Linked DNA regions of Mus musculus: regions 2, 3, 4 and 5 are each reported to be linked to region 1. Evidence: microRNA targets listed by miRTarBase, many of them from high-throughput screens and not tested one by one. Region 1 holds a microRNA gene; each other region holds the end of a gene's coding sequence.
The links. Region 1 holds the annotated microRNA mmu-miR-376c-3p (AACAUAGAGGAAAUUUCACGU, at 2,324-2,344, opposite strand). A microRNA usually pairs through its seed, bases 2 to 8, with sites in the 3' UTR of a target mRNA and lowers its output. Matches are read on the target gene's strand: a 7mer-m8 pairs with bases 2 to 8, a 7mer-A1 pairs with bases 2 to 7 and ends in A, and an 8mer does both.

Region 1 (6,338 bases):
TGCATCATTCAAGAAAGAAGAAAAACCGGAAAACTAGCTCTCTGAAAGCCCCCACCCTCTTCCCCAAACTGGAGCAGTATGGAGACCTCTGGACCTTCCTTCTGCCCTTCTTGGGGAGTTCAGAGGACTATGGGAGACTTATCACTATAAACATCAGACCCATGCAAGGCTCACCGGAGGGAGGTGAGATGCCCCACCTCCACCCGACCCCCAGAACCAAGGTTCTTTAGACAACCTTAACATAAATTCATGCTGTGACACACAAGGTGAAGAGGACACCTGGAGAAGGAGGCTTAATGGTCTTGGTAGCCTCTGGGAGCATCTTTACTTTGGATATCCACCAACCCCCTTTCCCTTAAGTGGATGGGAAGCCTTAAAGGTGATTGTAAGGACAGGTTGGCAATGGTGGGCAGAAAACCCACATCTAAATGGGCACTGGCTTGCTGCTGACACTCTTTTGGCCTTAGAAGACGACCTGGCATGCACACCACACTGCGAAGGGCTGTCAGAAGGGGAGGCACAGTTTCCTAGGCTCTACCAAGAACAGCCCTTAGGATCAGCATTTTTTTCTAGAAAGTTCTCAGAAGCATGTGTGAGATCTGTAGGGTCAGACGAAGAAGGAGCTCAAGCTCGGTGGCCCACCATGCATTTACTTACCCTGGAGAGACCACACCCTTCTGCTAGGCCCAGGCCGCCGCCAGCCATGCTTCCAGGCAGCATTTGCTCCTCGAAGAGAGCTTGCCCTTGCATATTCATTTCGCGTAAAGCAAACACACAAAGGATAACCTCTCTTCAAGTAGCAAACGATAAGGAGCGCTGGGGAGAGCTGGTCCGGTGCGATGACAGATGCGATGACGGTCCGGATGTGAGCCTGAGGGGGCACATTTGGAGGTTACACTTCCAGATGATTCACATGCCCCCCCTTCTCCGCACACCCCCCAAAGGGTTACCCAAGGCGCCCTTACCCAAAATGATGGCCCACCCAGGAGCTCTCCAAGACATATCGCTACAGAAAAAAGAAGCCGACTCCAGAAAACATACACATGGTGAGCACACAGAGAAACAACTTCATTTGAGGTCAGAGAAGGGATATAAAGAACACAGTGGTCTCAGAACACATCACTGGGAGAGGCTGGCATATAGGCACACATCACACAAGTCACAAATCTATCTATCCCCGCCAAGCCCAGGAAGACGACGGATAGCACGCTTTCTTCGGTGAAGATGTCATGTCCTCGGTGGTTTCCCAAGCAGCATTTGATACTGAAAACGTGGATTTTCCTCTACGATTAGTCATTAATATTGTACTCATAGAAGGAGAATCTACCTTTTAAATATCAAAGAACAACTCGATCCAGGATGCTGTGAGCTTGTGCTTGTGTCGACAGAAATGGAAGTCCACTGGGCAGAGTGAGCAGGCTGCCCAAAGAGGCGGTATATCAGACCCAGATCAGACTAACACTCAGTTGGCTTCTTAAGGCCATTTCTGGCCACGCCCCACTCATTATTACATGATCTTCCCCCCCAGCCCCAGACCCTACAGAATCTTCCAGAAATAGTTCCAGAGCGACATTTGATACTGAAAAAGTGGATGTTCCTCTATGATTATCCAGGAAGCACGTAACCATAGAAGGAATATCCACCTTTTAAATACCAAAGAAGGACTGAGTTCCGGGAAGGACCAGGCTTGCTGCTTGGCTCATCTGAAACAGATTACAAGACAAAAAAAAAAAAAAAAATCCCCGCTTCTCAGGCAGAGGAAACAGAATGTTGAAAGGCGCCTCGGCCTCTGTGCCAAGCTGGCTCCACAGGCAGAGACCCAAAGGTGATGGTCAGCAGACATATGACATGAGAAACACACATGTTCTGCAGCTTACCATCTTCCCACTTACCGAGGAGGGCACTGCGCCCAGCCTCATCTCCCTGGTGGATCATGTCACCCAGGAAGCACATGAGACTCAAAACTCAGGCAAACCCATCAGATTGACCAGCAAACATAAAACCACAGAAGGGAAATCTACCTTTTAGATATCAGACTTAAACTCTTGGGACATCCAATAGGACAGTCCTATCTGCGACAGAAGGGACACAATGGGAAAGACTTGTTAGCTGTGGGGGATTCCAGAACGAGACCCCTGACCTCTGGCTGAGTTGGCAGCCCATGAGGGAAGCTCTCAAGATTGCTCATTGGCCCTTGGGCACCTGAGGACATGCTCTGTGGACCACTGACCCCCCACTTACCCAAGAGGGTGCACCTGTCCTGTCACTGCCCTGGTGGTGGCTTCAGCTCAGGCCCATTACCCAGCAGCATTTGACACTGAAAACGTGAAATTTCCTCTATGTTTAATCACAAAAAGCATAAACATAGAAGGAATATCCACCTTTTAAATACCAAAAGATTTAGTCCTGAAGAGAAAGAGCCGAGGCCTAATCCGTCAGAAATGAAGAAGGCAGCAGACAGGCGCCCTCGGCACAGCCCCCAGAGGACACAGATTCCAGGAACAACCTGGCTGTGGAAAGCACAGGCTGTGGAACCCATCTCTCCCTTTGTTCTCTGGGTGGGGGAAGACTGGAATAACCTGCTTTGTCCTAGGGGGCACTTTGTATTCAGAAACATCCCAGAACCACTTGAGATACTGAAAATGTGGGTGTTACCTCTATGATTAACCAGAGGCATAGAGGAGCACTCACCTTTTGAATATCAGAAAGTGAGCGACAGAAGTGTATCTAGAGCCCACCGTACAGTTAAACATAGCCCTGGTTGTCACACAGCCTAGTAGGGAGTTACTGTAAACCCCCACCCCCTCTTAGAGAGTTTATGACAAGAAATCTGTTCCCTTGTGATTTCCAAAACCAGTTCCACACCCATACAGCCCATCCTGGGTACCCTTGGGAGAGATGTCATCAAGGTGGCTGCTGGGGCATCCACGTAGGTGCCACGGAGCACTGGAGACATCAAGGAAGTTTTCTAGGAAATGGGCTAAGTCCAGAAGGCTCCAACACACAGGCTCAATGCATTAGTGTGACACTGTTGGGGATAGGTATAAAAGACACCTTGAGACATGGCTAAGCAGGACATTCATGACTTACTATCACCACACTACCAGGTCCTTACAAGATTAGCTCAAGTTCCTGTCCAATCTTTTTTGAGTACATCAGACACAGAGGCATACCAGTACCGACACTATAAATCTTTGGTTAAAAAAAAAAAAAAAAAAAAAAGCAAAGAAGGACTGAAAACCCCAACTCAGCTAATTAACTCCAACATCTTCGTCATCTTAGCCTTGAGGCCGAAGACAAGTAGGCCAGGTGATAGTCCCCACACATAGAACATATGCTCTGTGACCAGCCCTCCCATATATGTCCAAATAGTGGTGCTGTCATGGGTCATGTTTTAATAAAGTAGGAACTGGCCAGAGAGTTTCATAAAGCTGGGTAACCAAAGACAAGAGGACCCAAGGATGCTGAGGCCTCGCCCCAAAGAGCCAAGGCCCCTCCTTGTATCTACAGCTTGTTAAAGCAGAAAACCTCACAAACACCTTCAAGTGCATGGATAGGTCACTTACCAGTGGGCTACACCTGCTTCCTTTCATAGTGCCCTATGAGGCCAGGAGACCCTAGAAAGAAGCAGGACAGAATTCGTTAGGGGATCTGATAGCTGGTTACGGGAGCAAATGTGTTCATCTGTCCTGACCCTAGGAGCAGCAACGGCAAATGTAGCTGTGTGTGAACTGGGTCTGCTCTTTAGGAACAATGTCCAGCTACGTTTAGGTTCATGTGTGTGTGTGTGTGTGTGTGTGTGTGTGTGTGTGTGTGTGTGTGCGCGCGCGTGTGGTGGTGCCAGTATGCTTGCTTTGCCTATGTGTAGAGGTAGGAGATCAAGGTCTGTTGCCTTCTGTAGTCTCACTATCCATGCGTGCATGTGTATGCATGTGGGCACACCCAAGGAGGCAAGAAGAATACATCCCTAAAGCTAAACTTGTAGCCATCCAGTCTAGGTGCTGGGAACTGAACTATGGTCCTCTGCAAGAGCAACAGTTTTGAGCTGGTTATGGTAACATACCTTTGATGCCAGCGTTTGGAAGGCAGAGGCAAGCAGGAGTTCAAAGTCAGCCTCAGCTACCTAAGAAATTCAAAGGTATCCTGGGTTACAATGAAAACTTGCTACAAAAAAAATGTTATCGAAAATTGTTATATTAAATGAGTTATACAAAAAAATCAATATGGGTGCCACATATTCATAGAGATTCCCACCTTCATCTTGCTCTCATCATTTTTCATTTGATATTTGAGCTTGTCCGTTTGGTTAGATCCAGGCGAACCTGGGAAGGGCAGAGTATATTCTTTAAAATTCTCAAAATCTGAAATGCAGGCTAGACATGTTTTTGCTCAAATCTGTCAATCAATTAAGAAGGAAGCGATGTGATAGAAACTAGATTTTTATGTACAGATTTGCCTTGGGAAATTGGATTATAGGATGATTCATTCAATAAACTCTCAAGTCTCAAAATAAGAAAATAAATAAACAAAAGCACTTGCCATCTGGCCAGACATCTGCTCACATACCATCAGCAAGGGGCTGATGCCCACATCGTGTTCCTGAACCTGACACCGGGTACAGAGAGCCCTTCAAGGAGGGATTTTGTGCTCAAAAAGAGGTCAGCGTTTAATATCTTCCACGAACAAACACCATGATGTGGACACTGTCCCTTGGGGCCTCTTGGAACAGCTGCGGCAATCCTGCCCAGGCTTCTCCTGTGAAAAAGACAGCTGGTGAGGTATTGTGCCCAGAGAATATTCTACCCTCAAAGATGGAAGGCTCCCTCTGGGCCTATACGTACCTGGGATGTAGGGGTGAATAGCAGCCCTTAGAAGCCTGCCAATAAAGCACAAAGCTAAATGTGAAATGGAACTGAACAAGTCCGGTTACCTTGGGATGACCACCAGAGGCATTTCTGTCCAGGTGTCCTTTGCATTCCTTGGATGAATCCAAGACAAACTCCCCTCCAGAAGTTTGTGGGCCTAGGGGCCTTGGGCTGGGTGGCAGGTGTCACAGATATAATGTATGGCGTGCTCACTGCTCCACCAGCACCGAGGCCAGTACCCACTAGATGGAAAGGGATTTTCAACCTAAGAAAATGGGTTGACCATGCTTGTTCCATGCCCCTTAGCCTTTCTCCATGGGTATAAAGGGAGAGTTGCTGCTTTTCCAAAGGTGTTTCCATCTTTTATAGGCAGAAGCCAAAACACAGGTACAGCCACAGCCCAAGGGCATCACTGAGCCAGTAGAAACTAAGAGCTAAGTGTGTGGCTAATCCTGGTACCTCTTAGATGGAGTTTGCACTGGGTTTTGATGCGCTATGGTTGTTGAGCCACGTAAGTATAAACAAAGCTTTTATTCCAACTTGAGCAAAGAAAGAAATAGCTAGTATCCTAGCAAAGGGTTGCCTAAGAGTGATCCCATATCTTGTACTGGCTCAGCTTCGGAAACCCTCCAGGGGAGATGGATGGATGAGGTGTTCTCATACTCTCTGGATTGTATCCTCCCTCCCACTCTCACAAGAGAGCCACCAAAGGGCCCTGCTCAAACAACCACACTCAAAGGCAATTTTGATGCCATGAGGAGGCTACCAGAGAATGTTAGCCATAAAGAGAAGTTCACTAGGGAAAAGGGGTCTGAAGTGCCGCCTTACATCTACCACTCCAGAGGGCAGGGGTACCAGTATCAGAGATAAGAGACAGGCAGCAGTGGCTGATGACAGCTTGCTGTTCCCTGGTCCCAATCGTAGCCAGCACCCACCAGTCCTCAAGGCCTTGCTAATGGCATCAAAGAGCACAGCCCGTAGACATGGCAGGATGCTGGTAAAGAGCTGATCTGGGGCCCAGGCTTTTCTAGAGTCATAGTGTTATGTGACACTCACCAACTGACATATCTTGGTAAAGACACCTGCAGCTGACATCTAGACACATGTCTCCAGAAGGAATTGGTGGTTTGGCTTGTATTGGCTGTTTGATTAAATTGCTATTGTTTGGATTTTATAATTTTCTGGGCTTCTCTTATCTGAACTCCATCCTACAACAGAGCCTAAAAGTGCGCTTCCTGGTTTCCCTTACTGACTGTGCCTGTCCCAGGAGGTGGGCATTCTGGACCTAACAATGCACAGAGCCAAGAGGGGCAGGTGAAATTGTGCTTCTTTGAGGTAAATGCCCCTGTGCACATGGTGACCCAAACCCCCTGGCCTCCCGTCCTCCCTCTGGTCCATGGGGAGCTCTCCAAGGTGAGATTTGATATCGAAAAAGAAGTGCACCATGTTTGTTTCGTCACAAATAAAAGCGAA
Region 2 (6,338 bases), not on the chromosome of region 1:
TGCATTCTTACTAGTTATTAACTAAAACCTTGCCAAAACAAAGCCATTGAGTTCTAAATTTTAAAAAGCCAGGTAGCAAAAACAAAGAATCATCTAAAAGTCTGCAAATTTGAGCAAGCCCGATTATATACCAAAAAGCTTAAGGCCATAATACTACTAATAAAATAATACACTTATCTGCTTTAAGAAATATAACAAGCTCGAAAAAGTCAAAAGTACTAATTCGATAGTGGTAATGAGTAGAATAATAGAACACTGAATATTTATAAATAAAAATTACTAATTTTTAATTATCTTTACCTTAAGATTTCTTAATCTTTATTTCTTTTTTGAGACAAGGTCTTCTATATAGTCCTAACTGCCCTGGAACTCACTATGAAGATCAGGATGACCTCACAAGAGATTCTCCTGCCTCGGCCTCCGGAGTGCTAAGATGTGTGTCACTACCCCTGGCAAATTTTAAACTTTTGAATTATTAGACAGTAGAAAACATTTTTAACTATGGGAAGTGGTGCTAATAAAACTAGAGTCAATTATAAACAATTCTACCATCCCCCCAAAAATCCCCGAAAAGGGCAAGATAGGTTTCTGGTGACTATTTAGGTAAAAAGGTAAATATAACTTATCATTCAACATAGTTAAATATATTGAACTTAATGCATTTTGTACTCCCTCGACCTTTGATCAAAATATTAGAGGAAACTTTAAAAAACCTTTAAAGCCAGACTTCCTAGTTAGAGAACACAGGGATAAACATACTTACTACTATGTGCTGACTATAAGTTAACTAAACTCCTATGTCTACTAAAATGGCGGTCTGAACAGACTTTTAATATTGTTTTTTCTCTCTCAGATTTGGATCTTGAAAGATAAGCATTATTCTGTATCAGTATAATTACTAAAGATAAATAGGATTAGAATTAGATTAGAGAAAGCAATTGTAGTCTAGCGCATGGGGAGGCATGCCTACTCTTCCTATGCCTGTCCCAGTACTCATGTGGCTGTAACAACAAAAAATGAAAAGGAAGGAAAGCCAGAAGAGATGTACAAATGCCAATGCATTTCCATATACAGTAATCAAATTTATGTAAATGTATATACATTATACATAGTTGAATTAAATGAACATTTTTCATATTTTGTATTTATGTGTGTGTGTTACAAGTGTGTTGGTGTCAGGAGGCCAGAAGGGAATGTTAGATCCCCAGAGCTGGAGCTACAGTAGGCACTGTGAGCACAAGGGAGGGAGGAACTGAACTTGGGTCCTTTGGAAGAGCAGCAGGTCCACTTACCCACTGACCTGTTTCTGCAATCCCAAGCTTTTCTCATCCTAGCTGTCACAAAAAGGCATAAAAGAAGCTTAAACGAATCCTGAGTTTACTTATGAACCTAGGTTCTATAAACCTCCTATCTCTTGCATCTTTTTTGTGTGAAACTGAAAAGATTCTTACTTTACACAGATTTTTAACAAATTCACAATGGGGGTGTGTGTGTATAAAAACAATTCTCATGGTCTGAGTGCCATGTAGTTAGCTAGTCGCTAAACATTTACTGGAAAGCTTACTCTGTACTAAGCCCTGTGCTAATTGTTATTCATCAACTGCTCTCTGAAACAAATTACTGTTTTGAGCTTAATACTGCCTTGGATCTTTTTGCCTAATTATTGAATAAAACCATATTGCTAAAATCAAAGTTCTTTTCAAAACCCTTTTAATAATATTAACATTTTAGAGGGCACTATCATTTTCTTGGTTGTCAATTGAACAAAGAAAACACTAAGTATTAACATATGCCAATCACAACAGAAATTAAAGTAACCTATATGGTAAGAAAACTGTCCAGACTTGTTCAAGACAAGTTAAACAGGTTAAGATTTGGAATTAACTGTTCTGCTGTCATTCTTCAATGGTTTCTTCAAAAAAAAAAAAAAAAAAAAAGATTCTTAAAACCTGGCGCAGTAACATGATAAAGAGCATGGCCCAAATTGAACAGCTACTTAAACCAAACAGTACTGTGCTGAGTGCACAGAACAAGTGAAGGATGGTACTTGGTGAAGGTGACTGTAAGGTTAACATTATCCATATACGCATCACCACTACCAAAGCAAGAGGAAATGCAACAACACACACAAACTCTGGAAGCACAAAGGTGAGACTTTCATGGCAATGCTCTCTTCACTGTCTACACTTGGCCCACTTTAAAAGACAACCAACTAGCACTTGGCAATAGGCAGTGATGCAGATGGTGGCAGATGACATCTTTGAGCTCACACTGGTCTCCTCTCTTCACTGCTGTTTGGTTTGTGGATGTTTGTTTTGGTTTGCTCATGCTGTTCCCGGAGCTTCTCTGACAGAAGCTTCATGAGTTATTGATCTGTTTATAGACAAGTTATCAGTTATAAGGGACTTTGGGCCTCTCCAAGTGGTAACCCCAGTTCCAAGGAGAAAGCTGGCAAGACAGAGGAAAGAGAAAGCATGTGGGGCCAAATGCTCACATGTGTCTTATGAAGAATGGGTAATCTCTACTGATGCATACTTCGGAGAAGCAACATGACAGAAGTAAGTCATGGCTACCAGGAAACTGGCTCTTCTGTCATGTGGGCACTCCTAGTTTTAAAGGGCGAGAGAAGCAGACACACGAATTAAACATGTGTCTAGAAATGTACTACAGTAGACCTCCAATAAAGCTCTTTAGTCCTCAAGAATCTTAATCCTGCACATTTCACAACACTTCAGTTTCAAAGAGCTTCCAGACTGTTGTTTTCATTTGATCTCAATTTGACAACTTTGTGAGGTAGGTAGAGGAGATATTCATCTTCAATCTTCATCTTTAAACAAGAGGAGCTAGGCTCACGGAGGCTGACTTGTTCAAAGTTGAAAACTAGCATATGGCAAAGCCAGACCTCTCCAGAGTCTAGGGTATATATATATATATTTTTTTTCTGGGTGTGATTCTTGGATAACCTGCTAAGACTCTTCTGTGGTATTTTTAGAAATACACATTTGTGAAATCCTACTGCCTTTGATTTATTGAGTAAGACTCTCTAGAGAGGAGAGCCGAGAATTCTGCATTTTATAGTGGATTAGAGCAGAGTAAGAAGCAACTGCATATCAGGAAACAATGTAAGTGTACTACTGAGTCTGGCTCCATCTTCCTGTGGTCAAATCTGATGCCATCAACCTATCTTTAGGGGAAAGTGAGCTTAAAAGAACAGCTTCAAGCCGGGCTACACTAACAATCACCTGAAAAGCTGGTTGTTTTTAAAGCATCAACTCAGACCTGACAGAAAGATGTTGGCTACTGAGAGTTCCAGAGTGATCTGTACCCGCAATCAGGGCTGAGGATCACTTATATTTTCTGAATCACATATTAGCATTTTCAAGAATTTTTCTTTCTGATCAATTTCATACAAATAAAGTTCACAGTTCATAACCTAAATCATTTAAGCTTTACAAAATAAAATGTCAAGAGGTTTTTACTTGATATTTTTAAGATTAAACGATATTCACAGAAAGAGTAACCATGCTCCACTTAGTTAAAATGATTTTCAAGAACCCAGGTCGATCACCATTTTGGACTTAAGAGTATATATTTCAGCTGTAAACCAGAGTAATTCAGAAAATAGGGATGTGGGCAAAAGCTGTAGCCAACTGGCTACTGGGGAATCTGGGGCAGACAATCAGCTCATTATAGGAGGGCCTGGGTACCAAGGTCTAATGGCTTTGGCAAGATCACATCTCACTGTAGAAAAATACGACAATGAATACACAGAAAATATTTTGCCATTTGTAACTTTTTTTTTTACCACTAAAACCCCTTATAATGTGTGATGCTTATTTTACTGCATGCCTCCACAGAACATATATGAACATGAAGTTGTCTACTATTTCCTGGGAAAAATGGCCACAAATTAAAATGTTTCTATCATGCATATGGATATTATAAAAGCATAGCCCATAAAAGTAATATTTACAAAACAAAACCCAATCCAATTACAGGGGAATGCTCATCTCTGCCTCTACTCCAGTGCTCATCCACAGCCTGCATATCTTGGGGGAAGACTGACAGACTTTGAGACAACCTCCCACAGGCCAACCAGATCTTCCATGGCACTGTTATCTTAGCTAAAATACTCTTGCTGGCTTATCAAAGTCTTCTACAGTTTAAAAACGGTTCCTTTTTTCACTCTGTGGAAATAAACCTACAAAGACCTAGTATTCATCTGAGAAATAAACCTTGCATAGAAATTTTCTTTAATTCTGAAACTTTGTTTTATTAACAGAGCTACCAGAATGTCATTTCACAACTAGTTCATATTATATGAAAATTCACTACAAAGCAGTCACCACACATAGAGGATTTTTCTAGATATAAAATAAGCATGTTTATAAAAATGCTCACCAGACAATCATCTCTTCACAGCCTAGAAAGAATTACTTTTGTGATGACATGATCCTTAGGGTTTGGGATGTGTTCACACCCCAGGGTTGATGTGATACAAAGAGCAAAGATCTACTTTCCCAGTGGGCACACTCTGCCCAAGAAAGCAGAGCGACAGTGAGTTACAGCAGCCAGCCATGCGAAGGCAAAAACTAAAACCTGCTTTTCAACAGCACACATTTCACCTTAGACAAGACTAAGCACTGGTTCCATCCTCCTCAATAACACGGTTCATGCTGGTGCCATGTGTAATGTGAGTCATGGGGTTGTTACTGAGGTCTCGGATGCTGCTGTGTCGGGACTGCTCGTTGAGCCGATGAGAACTACTGTGCCTGGAATGATCCGTCAGCCGTGACATGCTGCCGTGAGGTAGTCTCTCCTCCATTCCTCGGTAACTGCAGGGAGTGTACCTGCACAAGAGAGGTGGTTTTGAAGTGGGTAACAGAACATACCAGAAAATAGGACTAATAGTTTTCATTAAAATGCCTTAGTAACTGAAGTGCTCAGTAAATCAACAGTGAGAAGGCAGTAATTGACATGATTATTTAAAGTAATTCCATTACGCTGTAGAATTATCCAATGTGGCTAACAGAAAGATAATCCACTTAGGTCCAGGATGAAGGTCCTACTCCCTGCAAAAGGGCAAAAGGAAACCACGTAAGGCCGACCTACTTGGAACTATGTTAAGTATGGATACTTTCCTTACTCAAGTACGTTTCAAAAACACTGGGATCAGAGAGACGAGGAAGGGACTGAGGTCTCCCTTTAGACTCTCCAAGCTGAGGTAAAGCAGCAGCAGTGCAAATGTCAGTTTTACTAAAAGACTTGGGCTGGAGGAAGGAACACTCGAAACCAGAGGAGAATGAACTGCCACGCACTGATGACATCTGTGCCCATATTGTCTAGTTGAGCTAGTCAACAGCTCAATCAATCATCTGTAAGCGAGCTTAGTTATCTTCCTCAGGCTTACAGCTGTGCCCATACTAATTTACAGAAGTTACGTCTACTTGGCAGTTGCATCCTGATACTCTGTATCCAATTCTCTCCTAATTATGTGCACTCCTAGCTGGGCTTTGCACACATCAGCCGGGCTACACAGCTTACTACAGGTAGCCTTCCTATCCAGAAACACAACAGGGACTGTTCAAATTTTCTTTTGTTGAAATCCTGACTCACTGAGCCACATCAGAGGTAAGAATAGAAAAAAACCAATAGGCTAGAGAGATGGCTCGGCAGTTGAGAACATTTCCACTGGCTGTTTTCCAGAGGTCCTGAGTTCAATTCCCAGCAACCACATGGCGCCATAACCATCTATAATGAGATCTGGGGCACTCTCTTCTGGTGTGCAGGCATACATGCACGCAGAACATCATCACCATCATCAACATCATCATCATCATCCCTCAGCCATTGGAATAAAGAATTATTAGTTCTAGGCCAGTCAAGCTTAAGAAGACCAATTGCATCTTTTTTACTGGTCCACTTACAAAAGCTCACATGGTATTTGTCAATCTTTCTGGCTTAATAATGAGTTTTTCAAGGATAAGCACCATATTTTATTATTATTATTATTTTTAAGACTTATTATATGTGAGTACACTGTAGCTGTCCTCAGACACACCAAAGAGGGCATTCAGATCCCATTACAGATGGTTGTGAGCCACCATGTGGTTGCTGGGAATTGAACTCAGAACCTCTGGAAGAGCAACCAGTGCTCTTAACCATCTCTTCAGTCCCGTATTTTATCTTTCAATCTTTAGAACATTGAGAATTTTTTTCTAAAATACCTTTGCTCATACACATACTCTTTTGAAAAACATAATTTAGAATAATAAAAGCAAATGAGAACTGAGACTCTTCGATGACTTTAATGAGCGTGCTGCTTTTGTTTACAGCAC
Region 3 (6,338 bases), not on the chromosome of region 1:
CAGGTTGAGTAGACGTATGTGACTAATAATCAGAAAACCTTATAGTCCATGGTAACAATTTGCACAGTAAGACATTCATGGGTTGAGGCTTGAGGTTTCGAGGAGTTTGACACAATGGAAATACCATTTTGATGCTTTTTTTTGAGACATTTTTCATGTATCCCATGCTGGTCTCCAATTTGCTATGTGGCTCAAGATAACCTTAAATTTCTGATCCTCCTGGCTCTATCCATCCTGAGTGCTGGTACTGGAGGTGTGTACTATCATCAGTTTCCTTGCTGCTGGGAATCAGAACCCAGCCTTGTCTGCTTGTCAGTCAAGCACACTAGCAACTGGACCACACCTCCAGCACCTCATACTTTTTGGCCTTTACTAGCTGTATTTTGCAAAAGACATTAGAATTCATTTTTCAGTCTTGTGCTTGGAAGGCCTTGATGGTGCTCTAGAGGAGGCACTCCACTCCATTCACAAAGTCTTGGGTCGGATTTCAGGAAGCCCCTCTTCACCTGCTTCCGAGTTGAATATACTCAAGGACAAACAGCATGAGAGGGCAGCTCATGCCTTGTTGCTAGGAAGAAAGGCAAAATGGATGTAAACAAGGCGCGCCTGTTTTGTGGATGGATAAAGCTAAGTGCAGCCATTAAATATTTTTAGGAGAAAGTTAGAGGAGGAAATGAAATGCTCTTATGTCACAGAGCAGAACACTGTGACCCTGGAAAGAGTGCGAAGAGTGATTTCTTCAGAACTACTGTCAAGTGTCTGCAACATCTTAACGTTGCCTCCTGAAAAACATTAAACCCTTTTATCTCTTTATGTCAACACCACCTTCTCCTTTCCAGAATTTTCCCTCTATTTTTTGTCTGTTTGTTAAAATCTATTTTCTCCAGGCCCAAAAGGCACTTGTCACTTGTATCAAAGACAAAAAAAAAAAAAAAATTACACATTTATGCGTTGGCTTCCAACTCCATAGCCAGGCACAAGATTTGACTTGAGTGCATCTTGGATATCTTTGGGATATATGAACTCTCTTGTATGCTGTGGCCCCATTCAAAACTTTCTGTCAAAGTACAAGGGATAGAAATGGAAAATTGTTAAAAAAAAAAAAAGAAAGAAAAGTCAAGAGGCATATTGTAGCAACCATCCAATAGGGCTATCTGTGAGGACGGAAAGCAGCTAATGAGTAACTTTAAATGTGAGCTGGGCATGTGGTTCTGTGGGAGACTGGTTGCTTAGCACATACGAGGACATGGCAACACACACATACACACAGAAACACACACACACACACACAGGTAAACTAAATTTTCAGCTACTATTACTTCACATAAATTTAACTGGGCACACATGGCTACTTGCTACCATTTTGCATAGTGCAATGTCCCCATGCATACTCAGACATCCTCAGAGCTGCTTGCAACATCCATTCGGGTTTTATGGGGTGCTGCAAGCTTTCTGTACTCAATATACTTTCTATGTTTTTCCATTGTTCAAAATTGAGGCTAGATCAAGTTAGATAGCGCTCAACAGGTAAAGATACTTTCCACCAAGCATGGTATCCTGAGTTCAAGGCCCAGAACTCACATGGTAGGAGAGAAAACACACACACACACACACACACACACACACACACACACACACACACACACACCTAGCTCTAGTCAGAAGTCATTTGTCCTTTTCCTTCCTCTATTGTGATAATGACTAGGCTTCCTCTTTCTCTTTAGGTCTTCTATGGAAACTCAGACCGGAGTTCTACAGTTCAGAACTTACTCAGGCCCCCCATCATTTCCCGCTTCATCCGACTGATCCCTCTAGGCTGGCATGTCCGAATTGCCATCCGGATGGAGCTGCTTGAGTGTGCCAGCAAGTGTGCCTGATGTCTATTTCAGCTCAGTTCTGTCACTTGCAGGGAGAGCTTTGGGGGGAGGGCACCCTGAAATACCACTGGGATGAATGGGGCTATATCTTATAAGCACTTTACAATGTAGATCTGGGTAGAGAATATTTCACTTTTTAAAAGATAGTTTCAAATTTCAAAGGGAGAGAGAGAGAGAGAGAGAGAGAGAGAGAGAGAGAGAGAGAAGCTTTTAAGCTTTTCTTCAACTCAGGGCCAAAGAAAATAAGAACAAAGAAAGTATCTCTCAAACCAATTTTCTTACACAAACCCAAATAGCAGGGGTAATTTGCTGCTCTGGCTCCCCATCTTTTTCTCTTTGTCTCAGTGACACCGTCAAAGGTGCAGGCCCAGGGGAACACAAAGCAGCTCTGATAATTTGAAAATTCTTTTTGGCTCTTAGCACATTCAGAAGAGGAGCGTACTCTTTGGCAAAGCCTCACATGAACACTTGCATGAAATCCTCACTATAGAGGCCTGGTGACAAGTACATAGGTGTGAAGAAAGCAGAAGGAAGCCTGGCGTATGGCCCACGAGTCTGGAGCCAGTAACCAACCAACCAACTAACCAACTAACCAACCAGTCAAGGCTTCCCCCTCCCTGGAATTGCTTTTGCCTGGAAGGGGTGGAGCTCCTTGTGCAGAAACTCCATTCTACAGCCCTTTTGGCAATGTGTCCTTCTGTGATTGCCTGGAGATGAATGCAAGGGGCAGGCTATATGTGTGTGTGGATAGTGAGGTTTCCCTTAAACTGAGGAAGCCCAAATAACTAGAATACATCACACCTTCTTTATCCATGGCTACAGTTTCCCAGAAATTGAACAGGCTTAGAAAACAGCTGAGATAAACCATATCTCTATCTACTGGGAAGAGATCATGCTTTGGGGGAAGGGGTTAGGACTCCTATCATAGAGGACTGTACACAGATGATCTGTCAGTAAAGGGCTTGCTGTACAGCATAGGAACTTGAGATTATATTTCTAGAATGCATGTAAAAAGCTAGGTATGGACAGGTATGGTGGAACATGCCATTAGTCTTAGTATTTGGAAGACAGAGGCAAGCAGATCTGAGTTCAGGGCCAGCCTGGTCTACATAGCAGTTCCAAGCTAGCCAAGGCTACACAGTAAGGCCCTGTTTCAAGAAAAAAAGACCAGGCATGGAGGGGCACACCTGCAAATCCAGGACTAGGAGGCAGGCAGAGACAGGATGATGCCTAGAGCTTGTCTGCCAATCAGTACACTCCAGGTTCATGGTCAGACCCTGTCTCAAAACTAAAGTGAAGAGCTATTGAGGAAGATACCAGATGTCAACCTCTGTCCAACATGCACACATACACATACACTGGTAGGTTTCAAACCTGGGGCAAATGGCAGAGGTGCCTAGTTAAGGTTCTCCCAGCATCTCTCAGCCCCTACCAGGTCCTCCTAGTTGGCATACCCCGCCCCCTACCCCGAAACTCTTCAGCCCAGGGGGTTGGGCTTCTTCCCTATATAATCCAACTATTTTGGTCACCCTTTCTCTTTGTACCTTTGGGCCTCCTGGTTGCTGCATCTGGTTCCTCTGTTCTCCCTTATCTCTTTTCCTCCCTCCTCTCCTCACAAGGCCCAGCTTAGAGTGTTCATGTCTATTCTGGACTCTCTCCCGGATGCCCCTGCCTCTGGCTATGCTCTCCCACATATCTACCATAAACTCTCTCCTCTACCATACCTAGGACAAGTCATGTTCCTTTCCTTTTCCTTTTTGTTTCCCATTCAAACATGTAAATAGGAAAAACAAAATACAACAACAACAAACAAAAATAAAACCACAAAAGCCTTCTCTCCGAGCGGCTTCCTCCCGTCCTGCCCACCCAAACATGCTTACTCAGACATGACATTTGAAACTTCTTTCGGTAGTCATTCTCTGGCAGGAATAGCTCATTTAATCAGGAGCTTTGGAGCCTGAGAGAATGACTACTGGTCTCTAGCTCATTTCCATCTGTAGCTCAAGCTGGGTTTGAGGCTCTTCTCTGGGAGAGGCTGTTAACTGGAGTGAGGGTCAAAAAGGCATGCGGGGAGAAGCTGAGAATGAGAACTGCCCAGAGACAAGGTCTTGGCCTCACACACACACAATACAGCCTTGGTTAGTACTTTTCTCTGAGCTATTTTCTATTTCCAGGTATTAAAGGAGATTACATGGATTCACACCAAAATAACTTTGGATGGCCAGACATGGTATCTTCCATCTTTAATCCTAGCACTGGGAAAACACAGACAGGTGGATCTCTGTGAGTTCAAGGCCAGGTTTGCATAGCAAGCTCCAGACCAGCCAAGGCTATGTAGTGAGACTGTCTCAAAAATCAATCCATCAATCAAATGATCTTGGATGTCACATTCTTCTCAGTGAATAGAACAACATTTTAATAGCATCAAATTTCCTACCTAGTATTTTGGAGTTCCACAGGTGTGTGTGTATGTGTGGCAATGTACAACAATATTCCTGGTATGACTACATATGTACAAATTCATTTTGGATAATATTCCTGACAGCAGACCTTTATTTGGAAAATTGAGTTACCTTTCTCACCACACTGAGTAATTGTTAGAGAAAAATGGCAATAACTTAAGAATACTGATCAGGGAGAAAAAAACCCAAATGGTACAAGGCATGGGTAAATAGTCATCAAATTAAAAAATCATGCCATAAATTTGTTTTCTAATAGTTTCATTAACTTCACATAAACAGTCCTAATTCATTTAAGGTGTGTAATTCAATATAGTATATTCAAACTTGAACAATCATCACTACAAGTAACTTTAGACTATTCTTATCACCCCCAAGAGAATCCTCTAACAATGGGCCATCAGCCACCACAGCTCTAGATTACTCGTCATCCATTTTCTATTTGTGTGTGGATTTTTTTTCCATTCTGGGCATTTCTCCACACAAATGGAATCTTAGAATATATAGTAGTTTATGACTTGTTTCTTGTACTTATCATAGTGTTTTTAAAGTCCATGTGTTGGAGAAGTACATCCTCCTTTTTTGTTATTAACATTCTGTGTAGGGTATTGTATTATTATTTATCCATGCATTTGGGTGGGGCTAGTATGAATAATGCTGCTTCATGAAAATTTATATGTAAGTTATTGCGTGGACATGTTTTATCTTGGGCATACTCACACTGAGAATAGAGAATTGTTGGGTCTCTTGGGAACTATTTCTCCAGGTGGCTGTACCATCTTCTGTTCCCACCAGCAATGTCTAATGCTTCCAGCCTCTCATCTTTAGCAATGCTTCTTGTATTTCATTAGATCTGTCCTAGTATGTATGAAGTAGCATTCGATGATGAATTTGATTTGCATTTCTCTAATAACCAATGTTTTTTGAGCATCTTTTCAAGTCACCAGTGACATATTTTTGGAGAAAGTTCTATTCAGACCCTTGCCCATATAAAGATTTCATTTCACGGATTCATTAAGAGTTCTTTGGGTGTTCTACATACAATTCTCTTATGCAAACATTTCTTCCATCCTGTTTTTCTTCTTGTCATTGTCTTGGTTTAGTTTTGCACCAGGATTTCACTATGTAGCTCAGGCTGGCCTGGAACTTGCAAAGATCCTTCTGTCTCTGCCTCCCAGGTTCTGAGATTCTGGGTATTTGCCACCACACCTGGCCTTTCTCTGAAGCACAACAAATACCAAATTTTAATGAAGTCCAACCTTCCGGTTTCCTTTTTTGGTGTATTATCTGAGAAACTACTGTCAAACCATGGTCAAGAAGATTCACTCTTGTGTTTTCTTCTAAATGTTTTGAAAAAAAATTTTTAAAAAGTTTTAAAGTTTTAACTCTTACTTTGTGAACAGTTATAAAGTAAGGGTGTAATTTCATTCTTTGGATATCAATATGCAGCTGTCTTGGTAGCTTGTGTTGTCTTCACCACAGTCAATGGTCTTTATTCTTCCAAAAACAACTGACCAAGAATATTAGAGTATATGCTAGGCCTCATAATTCTATTACCACATAGTCTTCATTACTGTAGCATTGTAGTGAGTTGTGGAATTAGGACATATAAATCTTCCAATTCTGGTTATGTTTCAAGACTGAACTAACTATTCTGGGTTCCTTAAACTTCTAAGTAAGTATATCTGTAAATAAGCCAGCCAGGGGTCTCACAATGGAAAATGTTTTCAATTTCAAAATTAAATAAACAATGAGATATTAAGATCTGCAAGATATTTATCTGTAGTTAATTTTCTTTCAATAGTTAATGAAAATGTTAGCATTTTCTTCCTTTTGTGTTAGGATATATATATAAAAGAAACCCTATTATTAAAGTAAACCTGAAAAAGAATCTTCCTATTAAACAAAAAATATGTTTGCAATATTATTTCTTTTAGGGGGCAACTAATTCAATAAAGATTATATAATGGAGGAAAGTCATTCCTATCTTAACACATTTTGT
Region 4 (6,338 bases), not on the chromosome of region 1:
ATGGGTTCATTTTCTACATATTCCATGTGGAACTTAAAGAACTGCCAATCACAGGGACAGACCTGGGGACAAACACAAGCCCTCAGCATCACTTTGAACAGGTAATTCTTCATTCACATACTCTATTTATTTGGCTGGATTAAAGGATATTTTTGAAAACAAAAGCTTTTGTGTAAAACTTTCTAGCATGAATAGGCCTTAAGTAATCTTAAAAACTAAAGCCTGGGGCTGGAGAGGTGGCTCAGTGGTTAAGAGCACTGACTGCTCTTCCGAAGGTCCTGAGTTCAATTCCCAGCAACCACAGTGGCTTACAACCATCTGTAATGAGATCTGATACCCTCTTTTTTGGGGTATCTGAAGATAGCTACAGTACTTACATATAATAATGAATAAATCTTAAAAAAAAAAATAACTAAAGCCTAAGAGACTATTCTTCCCGAGTATCATCTTGCAAAAACTAAAATGAAAAAATCACCTGAAACCACATTTTGTCAATTTGTGCCTAATGGCATGGCAGCCACATCTCCATTCCACCCTGCTACTTTCTTTCCTTCTGACTTCTGGAGTGCTGGGCAGCTGCCATCTATGGCCACATGGAATGTACGCACGGTGGACATTTGTTGACTTGCTTGCTTTATTTCCCAACTGAAATTACCAACCCCAAACCACATGGACCACTGAGCCAATACTAACATCTCTGCAGTTTTCTCGATTAAGCAAGAATTGAACCCCAGGCAAGCCTATTTAATTTTGTGGGCCATATACAACAGAAACAGGGTTTCTGTAGGGTTTTGCCCACAATGAATATGATTTGGGCTAAAATGTTTTATTTTTGTGGTTAGTGGCATTGTATTTATTTTTGAAACACGATTCTACAGGTGTATTATTAACATGTGTAGTTTAGGCTCTGTGCTAAAAGCCACCCACAGTTATCCAAGTTACTTTGCCAGTTTTTGATTTTTGTTTTTAAAGGTTTGAGTACACATTGTTGTCCTCAGACACACCAGAAGAGGGCATCAGATCCCATTACAGATGGTTGTTAGCCACCATGTGGTTGCCTGTAATTGAACTCAGGACCTCTGGAAGAGCAGTCAGCGCTCTTAACCACTGAACTATCTTTCCAGCCCACTTTGCCATTTTTTTGTTGGCAGGATTTTACAATAAGAATAAAAATACCTTTTCTCCTGAAAAGTGATTTTATAGCTATTGCTTCAATAAAGGCATTGACTTTAAAAAAAAAAAAAGAAAATCTGAGCAGACAGTTGCTGAGACATTGGAGGCTGGGGACGGGGGCTGGGGGGAGTATTTGTGCAAAAAACATTAACTATTGTTTCTTCCTCAGAATTCCATCATCCCTGGTCCCCCTTTCCTCTTTGGAGCCTGTTCGGTACTGCTGGCTCTGCTCGTTGCCTTGTTTATTCCGGAACACACTAATTTAAGTTTAAGGTCCAGCAGTTGGAGGAAGCACTGTGGCAGTCACAGCCATCCTCACAGTACACAAGCGCCAGGAGAGGCCAAAGAACCTTTACTCCAGGACACGAATGTGTGACGGAAATCAGGAAGACTTCTCTCTCTCGCAGCACCCAGGTCTTAGTTTTCACCTGTAGCTCTGGATGTACATTCCATTTCCATCTGCAGTGTACTTTAAGACTGTCTTAAGAAATACTTGCATGAACTCCGTGGGAACTAAAGAAAGAACCGGACAGTTTTCCAAAGATGTTACACTTTCTTTCAAAAAGAAACCTTTTGTTTATATTAGCACCACTCTCTTGCCACTAAACTGTTTTATTACACATCTTTAATTAAAGCTCTATCTGTAACTCCGTCTCTGCCATTTCCTTAGGTGTTGAGCCTTTACCTGCTCGTGCTGACTCAGCGACACTAGGCAGGATGGTTATGGACCTGTTTGCTTTAACCTTGTAAAACCTGAGTCATTGTAAAATCTTGGGTCAAATAATTCAAAGCCTTAATGCAGATGCACTAGAAAAGAAATGGTAAAGAATTGTTTGCATTTAAAAGAACTTGTGAAAATTGTAGAAAACCAGAATCATGTTTCAAGCTTGTTTGCCATAATTTTATTTAAAGCATTATTCACGGCTGTTCTGAAGAATGAAAAGATCAGCCACTTAGAATTCAAATTGGGGTGGTCAGAGCCTAGCCATCTGGCTCAATCTGTTTAAATCTGTTCTGCTTCTTATACCACTATTCTTTTGATATTTGCATAATCATAAGGACCTCAACACTTGAATACATAATCTAAAAATTATATAGTAAAGCTGGTAGCCTTGAAAATGTCAATGTGATATCTATATGTAGATAAATATATATAGTGGCCTTTCAGGACTGTCACAGTAACACTTTATTTACAGAGCTAATGTTTGTCCTAAATTTTCAGGACCCTAGAAGAGAGCTTTATACAATTACTGATGTGAATTTCTCTAAAGTGTATATTTTTGTGTCCAGTTATATTATTTAAAAAAGTGTTACTTTGTAAAAATGTACATAAAGTATTGTATAGTTTACACTGTTTTCATCTTGTGTGTGGTTACTGCCTAATGCTTTTTAAACTTGGAGCATTCACTATGATTAAATAAGGTCTCAAATGTAAATATTCTGTTAATAAAATTAAATATTTTAATGATTTTTTTCTTTTTAAAAAGGTCTTGATCTGTGAGTCCCTCCCTGTAAGGCCGGTTTAGGCTTTGTTACAGTAACAAATCCTCTTACCTTAACTTACCTTCTGCAATCCATTTGCTGCCCTCACCTCACCTCACCAAAAACAAAACAAAAAGCCTGAAGATAAAAATAACGAAGTGTGTAGGTCAACCGGAAATGCTTGATTTCCTAAGCACAGTTAGTCTTTTATTTCCTAAACATGCTTCTTGCATATAAAACGCTCAAGCCTCAGTGCTTTATTGACAAAGGTCACAGCTTTCAGAAATAGCAAAAAGCAACATTCTGATGGTTAACACATGTACAGTTATACAACACAAAACAATTTCAGACAAAAGCAGAAGAGGTAGAGCAGAGAGTTGGCGCTATCTGTGTGTGTGGACACTTAGCACAGAGACAGGTCACCAACACCCTGCGTGGAAATGAGCTGTCCTATCGTGGAAACAGGTTTATAAATAGTAAGGGGAGGGTATCTCTTCTAAAAAGCTATATATGTCTTGTATCCCTTTCCAAAGGCTGCCATAGCTCTTAGGTTTATTCTATAGTATTTACAACAGTCCTGTGCTGCATAGAGAGACTTCTTTCCAGAATAAGTGCTTTCAAGTAGTTATAGCAATATTCTTCCCATCACTGAACTGTGATAACAGCCCTCGTTGAAGACAGCTAGCAATAGCCATCATCCTGAAAGTGAGGCTAAAGATTCTACGTCACTGTCTCAAAATGTCTGCAACAGTGTAAAGTACTTGAAAAAAAATGTGTATAAATGTTTTGCCTAGAAACCACATGCATGCCTGATGCACTCTGGGTGACAAAATTGTGAGCTGTCATGTGGGTGCTGGGATTAGAACCCACATCCTCTGAAAAGAGTAGCTAGTGCCGATCATCACTAAGCCATCTCTTCAGCCCCTTGAAACTTAAAATATCACATGATTGTTAACATTTTACAGATAAGATTTTTGGGGTCTTGGAATTTTAATTTCCTTTGGGTGGTTGTCAACAAGAAAACAAAATTAGACCTCTAAGATTATAGAGGGTTGTTTTTGGTTTTTTGTTTCATTTTGTTTTTTAAAACTACTTAATTTCAAAGGAATAGTTCTTGGAAGTTTTTAATAGTGAGGAAGTTGTAATTTCCAATAGTTAACTCTCCTCCTGCTTTATTAACACTGATGACAAATTTTAATATTATAAAAAGTCCCATGAACTTTTATGGTGTTATTACACTGATGATCTTTATGGAATGCCCAGATGACTAAAGCACTTCAGTCATGTAAATACACTGTCCCAATGATTTTTATATAAAAATTATTTCAGAGAAAATGATTTACTCACTATGAATACTTAATTTCACTCAAAATCCTTAAGAGTGTCACTAGGTACATCAACCAAACTCCAAATGCCCATACCCAGGACTTGACTAGCACAAGGTCGAATACACTGTTTTGGGTTTGATTTTTTTTTTGGGGGGGGGGAAGGGGGTTCGAGACAGGGTCTCTCTGTACAGCCCTGGCTGTCCTGGAACTCACTCTGTAGACCAGGCTGGCCTCCAACTCAGAAATCCGCCTGCCTCTGCCTCCCGAGTGCTGGGATTAAAGGCGTGCGCCACCACTGCCCGGCTGGTTTGATATTTTTATCTTACTGATTGGTTATTTTTATTTTCTTTTTTAAGGGAGAAAGAACATAAAATTGGGTGGGTAGGAAACTGGAGACCATCTGGGAGGAGAAATTATAAACCAAATATATTGTGTAACTCAGGCTTGGTGGGTACACAGCTTTAGTCCTAGGTCTTGGGACACAGAGGCAGGTGGATCTGGGTTTGAGGCCAGCCTGGTCTACATACATAGCCAGTTCCAGGACAGCTTGAACTACATAATAATAGACCCTGTCTCAAAAAAAAAAAAAAAAAAAAAACTTTGAAAGTTGTATGAGAACTGAATGTAAAGTCAATGTAAGGCTCAATGGTCACAGGTGGAAGCTCTCCCAGCTCTCAGGTGGCAGATTAAGATTTTTTTTTTTTTACAATAAAAATGATCGAATGAATCACAAGTCTTCAGTTTATATTCCCTGCAGGTGTATCTTGATAAAGTGTCCCTAAGCAGACCAACTGGTAAGAATCTGATACAATCCAGTGACTTTTTGAAACATTCTGTTTTGTTCACAGAAAAAAAAATACCATTTACTCAGCATCCTTATCAATTTCCTAAATTTGTAAATGGCAGCAGTATTATAAAGGATCCAAATGACCTAACAGGAACCAGAAAAAAATTGATTTTGTTATCAATAGTCTGTTAAATCACTTGAATTCCTAAACTGTCGGTGAGCAGTAAAAGGTGTTGGATTAACTACTTGGTAACTGCCCAGGGAAGTAGGCTGAAGACGAGGAGGGGAGAACGGTGGGTTTGGAAGATAGCTGGAACGCTCCCAGCATGCCGTCTTTCTGATGGTCTGCAAGAGACAAAGCACGTAGCATGTCACTGCTTTAAGCACATGTAATGATCCACACTGTACCACTCCACTCACTCAGTCACAGGTCTCCTCACCTGAGTCACTCAACAGATTCTGGCTAAGTCCGCGTAAAGGAATGCTAGCTTCTCTTCTCTTCAAGTATTTGGATTCCAATCCTAAAGTTTCACCACTTAAAAAAAATAATTTTCGTCTTAATTTTCACTTTATTGTTCATTTTCTCTGTTGAGTGTTCCTAGTTGACAAGAAATCAAAATGTTCTAAAATACCTTAGTACAACATTTTTTGACCACCTAAGTGATCATATGATGCCTGAACAACTCCATACCTGTGTCCTCCCTTGGTGAAGGTCAAACATCATACTAAAACTGGGACAAAGACTACAAGAAGAATAAATTCTATGAGTACTGTAAGATTATATATATCACAGCAAAGATGAGGAGATGAGAAAATACAAAAGAAAGCAAGTTATATACTGAGAATATTATCTTGAGTTTATTGGAGTCAATACAACATACCACAACATACCGTATTAGAACAAAGGCATACGTAACGTGACAGGAAAAATACATAACTGATTTGAGAGTACCATTAAAAAACTGCACGTATGTTTGTTTATTTTAACGTGTGTGGGTGTTTTGCCTGCATATATGTCTGCACATGGATGCCAGAAGATGAGTTACAGAGCTTGTGAGCAGCCATATGGGTGTGGAAATCCAACCCAGGTCCTCTGGAGGAGCACCACTGAACCATGTCTGCAGCCCTCTCTGAGACAGGGTCTCCCAGTGGAGCCTTGGCTTTTGTACTTACAGAAAACTACCTGTCTCTGCCACTTGAATGGTGGAATTAAAAGTGTGTGCCACCATGCCTAGCTTTAAAAGGGACTTCTATGTACCGATCCAAATACTTGTAAAAGCAGTCTTTACTTATAAGACAATCTTTTACTATATTATCTAGGGGGGCGGAGTCCTATAACTTAAAACCACATAAGAGAAATCACTTTTTCAAAGCTAAAAATCTAAATTTTCAACATAAAATATCTTAGATAAGCTGGGCTTGGTGGCGCACACCTTTAATCCCAGCACTTGAGGCAGAGCCAAGCAATTTCTCTTGAGTCTGAGGCCATCTTGGTCTACACACTGAGTTTCAAGACAGCCAGCGACACAGAGTCAGACCCGCTCTCAACAAGAATGGCAGTCATAGAT
Region 5 (6,338 bases), not on the chromosome of region 1:
CTCACATGTGTGATCACACACACACACACACACACACACACACACACACACACACACACAATGTCCAAGGGGTGAAAATGGGAAGTGGTTGCAGTATCTTGATTGTGTCTGAGTTATCTAGAAAGCTGTCTTCTGTGAACAGTCTCTTGAAAGAATGAGTTTCATGCACCCCATTGAGGTGGACTGTTTGGAGTACCTAGCTAGTTGAAAGGCATTATTAGTTCAGGGTTGAGCAGAACAGGTGCTTGGTAATGTTAGAGGTAAGGCCCCTTATAAGTGCCCTTCTATGAGCGTTCCAATTAGTGTCTGGTTATAGAACTTCCAAGGAGCTAAGGGTCTAGGTTGTGGAATCTCTTCCTTCATGTGGAAATGTGATTTTCTTCTGAAAACCAACTCATCTGTTTATATTAGTAGGTATGTCTAACAATTCCCTTATAGAATGTTAGAACATCTAAATTGCTAGGTTTCAATCTTCAGGTGCCTGGATAAAAATTGACATTTTCTTCCTCCTCCCACTCACAAGACAGGTCTCAGTTTGTAGTTCCAGCTGTCCTGGAACTCACTATAAAGGCTGGCTTCAAACTCACAGGAGAATCCACCTGCCTCTGCCTCCCAAGTCCTGGGATTAAAGGTGTGTGCCACTATGAGAGATGTGGAAATTCCACACATGGGAGTGCTCACTCTGATTAAAATTTAGCAACAATAGGATCAGTGGTTCATTTACAAAGACAAGTTTAAGGCAAGTGAGTGAACATACATGTGGCAGTAAAAGACTGTTTACAACCATGATGTTTAGGAATTGAATTACATTTACTTGACGAAAAAAATGCCCTAAACATGCTTATTAATAACATTTTATCAAGTGATATGAATTCACTCCTGAAAATTGACAGCCTAGAATATATCAAATTTGACCTAGTTAGCAATCAAAAAAGAAAAAGAATTGGGGGCAGAAGAGATTGTTCAATGGTTAAGAACCCTGGCTGCTGTTCCAGAGGACCTGAGTTTGCTTCCCAGCACCCACGTGGTGGCTCCTAGCTGTCTTTAACTCCAGTTCTAGAGAGTCCAATGCCCTCTTCTGGCATCTGTGGGCACGAGGCACATATGTGGTGCCCAGACAGGCAGACAAAAACTCATACACATAAAGAAGTATATTAACCTTTTTAAAAAAAAATGGAATTTTGACTGATATTTGTTATCTAATATCAGGAAAAGCAATATAAGTAGAGACACCAAACCACTAGAGCCTTGAAAAACCTCTACATATACAAAATTTCATATAATTTTTGAACACTTAATAACATACAAACAATTTAGTGCATATAAAACATTTTAAATGTTGGCACCCAATATTGGTAAACTTTCTAAGATTTATCTGTGTGTTTGCAAGTATTCTGTGAGTACCCGAGGAGCCCAGTAAGTGCTGAGATGACCTTGGAGTTAACCAATGAGAACGCTCGGAACTGAACTCTGGTCGCCTGCAAGTGCAGAGGCTCAACTTTAGTCTTTTTGTTTTTTATTTTTTGTTTTTGTTTGTTTTTTATTTCTTTTGACAAGGTACAGGTACATTCTCTCTGGGAAACCATAAAGCTACTTTGAGATGATATGGACTAAGTTTGTGTCCCATCCCTTGGGGTGCTTGTTGAGATCCTATCTGTCAAGACAGCATTAGGCCTTGGGCTTAGGAGAGGTTTGGTCCAGCTGTACCTGTGCCAAGTCCAGGCTTTGTAAGGTTCTGTTTTCTCCTTCAGTAGCTTTTCACCAGAGCATGCTGTAGTGGCTCTTTGGCCTAGACAGACGGAAGCCATGATTTACTTAGTGTAGGGAAGAGTTAAGGCAGAAAGCCCAAAGACTGTCCTGTCTGTTTCAAGTTGCTTTGGTTTTGTGCTCACCAGGGAGATAGTACAACCTCTTAAGGACCTTGAATTTATAAACTTGTCTGTCTCTGAGTACAGGGATTAAAGGAATATGCCTCCACACTCCACAAGATATTCTTGTCCGCTTCTCTGTACAGGTATTTCCTATTCAGTGCCAATGGCACTTGAAACTTTGACCCTAAATTGTAGGATTCTCAGAGCAAGCCTTAATTAAACACACAAACTTCTTGTGTATTTGTAGCAATGTACATATGATAATCATCGGCAACTTGTAGGGGTCAGTTTCTCTTCTACCATGTTGGTCCTAGGGATCAAAGTTAGATAATCTATCAGTCTTATATCTTGCTGGCCTAGAGTGAGATTTTAAAGGTAACCTCTGGTGTAGATGTTTTTGTTCTCTGGGGTAGTGGATGGTACAAAGCTACTCTTTCCAGTTTAAAGGGGAAATGTGTCCTTTGACACATTATACTAGTTAGGAATGTTTGCTCACCTGGCCATACTACATAATTTTAATGTGATTTATGGCTAGGCTTGACCCAATTTGTAGTCTTAATTGTGTGTGCAGGTGGGGAACCACATCAGAAAGATCTTTTTCTTAACCGCTGAGCCATTTCTCCAGCCCCAGAAAAATCGTCATGTGGAGTTTTGGGGGTCATGCAGTACCAGCTGACCTAGACTGAGATAAATCATAACAGCAGTTGGTTGTGCCCGTTATTTAGGTGGTGGCTCCTGGCTGCCGATGTTCCGTATACTGTCACGCTTTGGTGCCAGGAATGTATCCTGGCTCCAGGTGACAGATAACACAATTGGTGAGTAAAGACACCCAAACTTGCCTTCTCTAGAGGAGGAACCTCCAAAAGCCAACTGGTGATAGAGAGCTGCAAGGCAGGCAGCTCCAGACGAGCCACAGCCGTACAAGGAGCCCGTGTCTAAAACCATGAAGATGAAGCCGTCCAGCTTTCTCCACTCACCAGTTCTCCCAGTCTCTCGGCTGGTGCTGAGGATTCTGAGCTGGACATTGCTTAGGTTTTCGTTGCTTTGTTGCTTTTACAATTGAGCTTTTCCACCACTTTTCTACCACTTCAGTCACCCACCCATCCGTTTTTCAGTTCTCCCCTATTTTAGCTGTTGTTGTTTCCCATCTCGTCCAATTGGTGGGTTTGTGGTGTTTTGATGGCTGTGGGCCTGCATCACTCAGATGGCTTTTCCAAAGAATCCATTTTGAAGAATCTGATGAGTTGGCTGCTAGCATTCAGCTACCGCACCGTAACATACACTGAGGCATCTGTGCCAAGGCCATAAACCTCAAGCTGTTCCTAGACACTGACTATGAGAGGCAGGGACACTAAACCAGGCTGTCCTTCAAACTGACATGCTAAAAAAAATAAAATAAAATAAAAAAATAAAATCTTTGCCTGATAACTTTGTGCTTGCAATGACTGTTACAGAGTTGTGAGTTAGGAAAGCAGAGTGGAGAGTGAAGGCAAGAAAGCCTCCCACAAATGTTACAAAACGATCAGAAACCTACTGCCAAAGAAGATGGCTGGAAACCCCAAGAAGCAAACTAAATCCCTCCGCTGTCCTAGTCCAGAGGCTCATTATAATACCAAAACACACCCCTGGGCGGAGACTTCAGATACTTCTTAGACATGCAACGCATGTACTTATAAGAACTCCACCAGAGCACCCTTAAAATAAGGTTAAACAAAAACGTCCATGCTATAAATGAGCCCTAAGTCCTGAGCGAGCTGGCATGAAGACCCAGCTCTGTACAGTGGAGCCTTTGAGCACTAGACGCCCAGTGTTCCCGCTTCCTTCCTTCCTTCCTTTTCTAGCAATGGTTGTCTCTGCTGTGATCCACGCTCCTCTGCACCCCAGGCTTTCCCAGATCCCTTTCTCCCTGTCCGACTGTGGGAGTGTGGAGTCTGTAACACCTGCTCCTGCTGACACCCATTACTTATGTCTACTGCCATAACAAAGTGTACAACCATCTCATTTTGTCTTGGCAGCTGCTTCTTTGAGGACCCAGAATTTTGGGAAGAGGTAATATTCGATGTTCATTCGATGTCTTAATATGTAGACGTGGTTAAATTTAGTCTTTCAAAGATTACAGATTTCAAGTTTCATTAAACTATGGGAGAATAACTACTTCCAACACAGTATCTAAGAGAGTGTTTACTGTTTTGATTTAATCAAACGTAAAATATTCCATCAAATTACCCAGGAAAATCCAGGTAGCAGAAATATATAACATATCCATTTCTTCACAAGGTCTCAAATCTGTTTTACAAGGCCATATATATATGTATATGTACTATGCCATTTAAACCACTTCCACTTTCTATACTGAAGAACTCCAGTATAGAAATAAGCTTCGTGGTGTTGAGGTAACATTGGGACACTCCCCCAACATGACTGCATAGGTGTTTAAGGTTAAATGTGAACATGATGTGAGGTCTCCAGTCAGTCAATCCCATTAGAATCGCCGGTTAAAAGCAGCATATTTGACAAGTGCCCAAGGAGATAACTTCACTGAACCCATGTGTGTGTGTGTATGTGTGTGTGAGAGAGAGACAGAGAGAGAGAGAGAGAGAGAGAGACATAGAGAGTGTGAGTGTGTGAGTGTGTGTATAAGGAGATGGGTAGATTCAAGGAAGACTGACTGAAGGCATACTGATAGCTGTTAGCCATCTGCAGTTGTTGGCAAGACAGAAACATATACAGTCTTCATATTCAAAGTCTTCATTGGGATATCTTCTGTAATTTCTAGAAGAGAGAAAAATTTCAAAAAGTCAATATTCTATATGAGTAAACATATAAAAAAATGTTAACTGCCTATCTTGAGGCCCATTCTAAGGCCACTTTGACTTCTGTCCTAGCTTTTAGTGGGGAATCTCTCAACTCTTGGCACGTCCTGATAGGTTTGTCTTTGTTGCTTACAGTACGGCTTTGATTACATATTATCTTATGTTAGTGAGGTGACTGAGGGCAGGGAGCTGCGAAGTGTGTGGACTGGTTGGTAACCTTTGAGACACAGACCAACCATGCAGGCATTGAATTAATTGAGCCTACGTATTAATCCTCAACAAAGTTCTGGGTCCCAAGTTGCACCAAACTTCCCTGGGAGGTAATACCTGGTGACTACACTCTCGGGGATGGGAGGAGGCAACAGCGGCCATTCCTCCACGAGGAAAGGATGGCTTGAATTCCTAGTGACCTCCCATTTTGCCTTCACAGCTCGTCCTCTGGTTAGCTCTGGTTGGTATAATAACCAGTTTGTGAGTATGGTGCCTGTTAGTGAGTCTGTGAATATGAGGGTGGATTGAGGAAATGCCTGAGGTTATGTTGGCATTAGAAGTGGTGATGGCAGCACACAGACACCGCCCCCCATGCCCGCATCATACATATAATAAACCTAGGCATAGCATAGTCAGACTGCAGAGCACCAGAGACAAGGGGAAACCCTGAAAGAAGCAAAAGTAAGAAAGAGGGATCAGCCTGAAATAGAGAGGCATTGAGAAACATGTCAACTCTTGTTCACGATCTTTGGGTGTTCTGTGGGAAATGCATGCAGCATGCTTAGACTGAAAAGAGATGGGATCAGCTGGACTATCAGCTAAACGTTTCTAATCAGAGTTGACTCTTGAAGAGACTGCTTTTAAATTTAAAATCATTAAATATAGTACTTTACCTAGAAGTGTAAATGTTCAGGTTATTTCTAAAGAAATGAAATCTTATCCCCACTTTAATTTGCTAGGCAGGCGCTCTACGCTCAGCGACACTTCTCTGTTAGGTTACTGTTATTTTTAACTACATTATGGTTAACTTCTGAAGAAACTGCAAAAATGAACAAAACAAGACAAATACTCAAAACTTTTTCCCCACCTACTGGCACCACTGACACCTTTCAGAGACCGTCACGGCCGCCTCACCTTGTGTTTGAGTCTCATTCAGGAACAGCCTTAGCCTCCTGCTCCTCAGTCCGAACACCTTGGCTGCTTCATGCACAAGCCCTTGGTGGGTGAGGCCGTTCTGTCCGAGTGGGTTTTCAAGCAGGAGGGTGCCCACAGTTCCTGTTAAACACTCTAGGGAAAAAGGAAGAAAGTGGGTTATTCCCAAGGACTCATGTTCCAACACCAGCAGCGACTGTAGACAGCACCAAACGGCAATGAGGAAGGTTGTGAAGTGGGTGCAGGAGCTTAAGCTGGAGGCACAGGATGTACAGAGGTAATCTTAAAACAGTTCATAGAGGTGAGGAAGAGGGGGACGGAGAGAAACTGACACATGGCAGCCAGCTGCTGGGGAATCGATCTTCAGTGCACACTCAGGTGAAGAGACAAGGATTCCAGCAGAAATGTGCACAAGGAGGTCCCTGAAATGTGGGGAAAGAAAGGCAGCAATGGTGCCTGTGGGTCGAGCCTGGAGGTGTCCAACTTTTCAGGACAGATTCTAAGAAAAGAA

Region 2: miRTarBase lists Fzd3 as a target of mmu-miR-376c-3p. Seed matches in the 3' UTR shown: 7mer-m8 at 4,350-4,356 and 7mer-A1 at 1,106-1,112.
Region 3: the mRNA of Rs1 is a reported target of mmu-miR-376c-3p. Seed matches in the 3' UTR shown: 7mer-A1 at 4,208-4,214 and 7mer-A1 at 5,458-5,464.
Region 4: miRTarBase lists Sass6 as a target of mmu-miR-376c-3p. Seed matches in the 3' UTR shown: 7mer-A1 at 4,508-4,514.
Region 5: the mRNA of Iars is a reported target of mmu-miR-376c-3p. Seed matches in the 3' UTR shown: 7mer-m8 at 4,477-4,483.

The regions. Positions count from the first base shown.
Region 1 is chr12:109,718,776-109,725,113 of GRCm38, reverse strand. Mir376c (microRNA 376c) reads right to left here and starts at 2,396; the gene lies at 2,311-2,396. Mir654 (microRNA 654) reads right to left here and starts at 1,896; the gene lies at 1,813-1,896. Mir376b (microRNA 376b) reads right to left here and starts at 1,656; the gene lies at 1,575-1,656. Mir376a (microRNA 376a) reads right to left here and starts at 1,333; the gene lies at 1,266-1,333. It also overlaps Mir300, Mir495 and Mir667.
Region 2 is chr14:65,198,083-65,204,420 of GRCm38, forward strand. Fzd3 (frizzled class receptor 3) reads right to left here. Exons shown (of 7, transcript NM_021458.2): 7 at 1-4,850. The coding sequence ends at 4,637. Among named protein-coding and RNA genes, the nearest start is that of Gm30008, 26 kb to the left of the region's middle.
Region 3 is chrX:160,792,795-160,799,132 of GRCm38, forward strand. Rs1 (retinoschisis (X-linked, juvenile) 1 (human)) reads left to right here. Exons shown (of 6, transcript NM_011302.3): 6 at 1,725-6,338. The coding sequence ends at 1,877. The region is part of intron 18 of Cdkl5 (cyclin-dependent kinase-like 5); the gene reads right to left. Among named protein-coding and RNA genes, the nearest start is that of Rs1, 28 kb to the left of the region's middle.
Region 4 is chr3:116,627,485-116,633,822 of GRCm38, reverse strand. Sass6 (SAS-6 centriolar assembly protein) reads right to left here. Exons shown (of 17, transcript NM_028349.3): 16 at 5,211-5,305; 17 at 2,837-5,115. The coding sequence ends at 5,009. It overlaps Mfsd14a (major facilitator superfamily domain containing 14A), which reads left to right. Exons shown (of 12, transcript NM_008246.2): 11 at 1-101; 12 at 1,343-2,659. The coding sequence ends at 1,549. Among named protein-coding and RNA genes, the nearest start is that of Trmt13, 16 kb to the right of the region's middle.
Region 5 is chr13:49,731,964-49,738,301 of GRCm38, reverse strand. Iars (isoleucine-tRNA synthetase) reads right to left here. Exons shown (of 34, transcript NM_172015.3): 33 at 5,810-5,962; 34 at 4,035-4,643. The coding sequence ends at 4,561. Among named protein-coding and RNA genes, the nearest start is that of Gm23482, 21 kb to the right of the region's middle.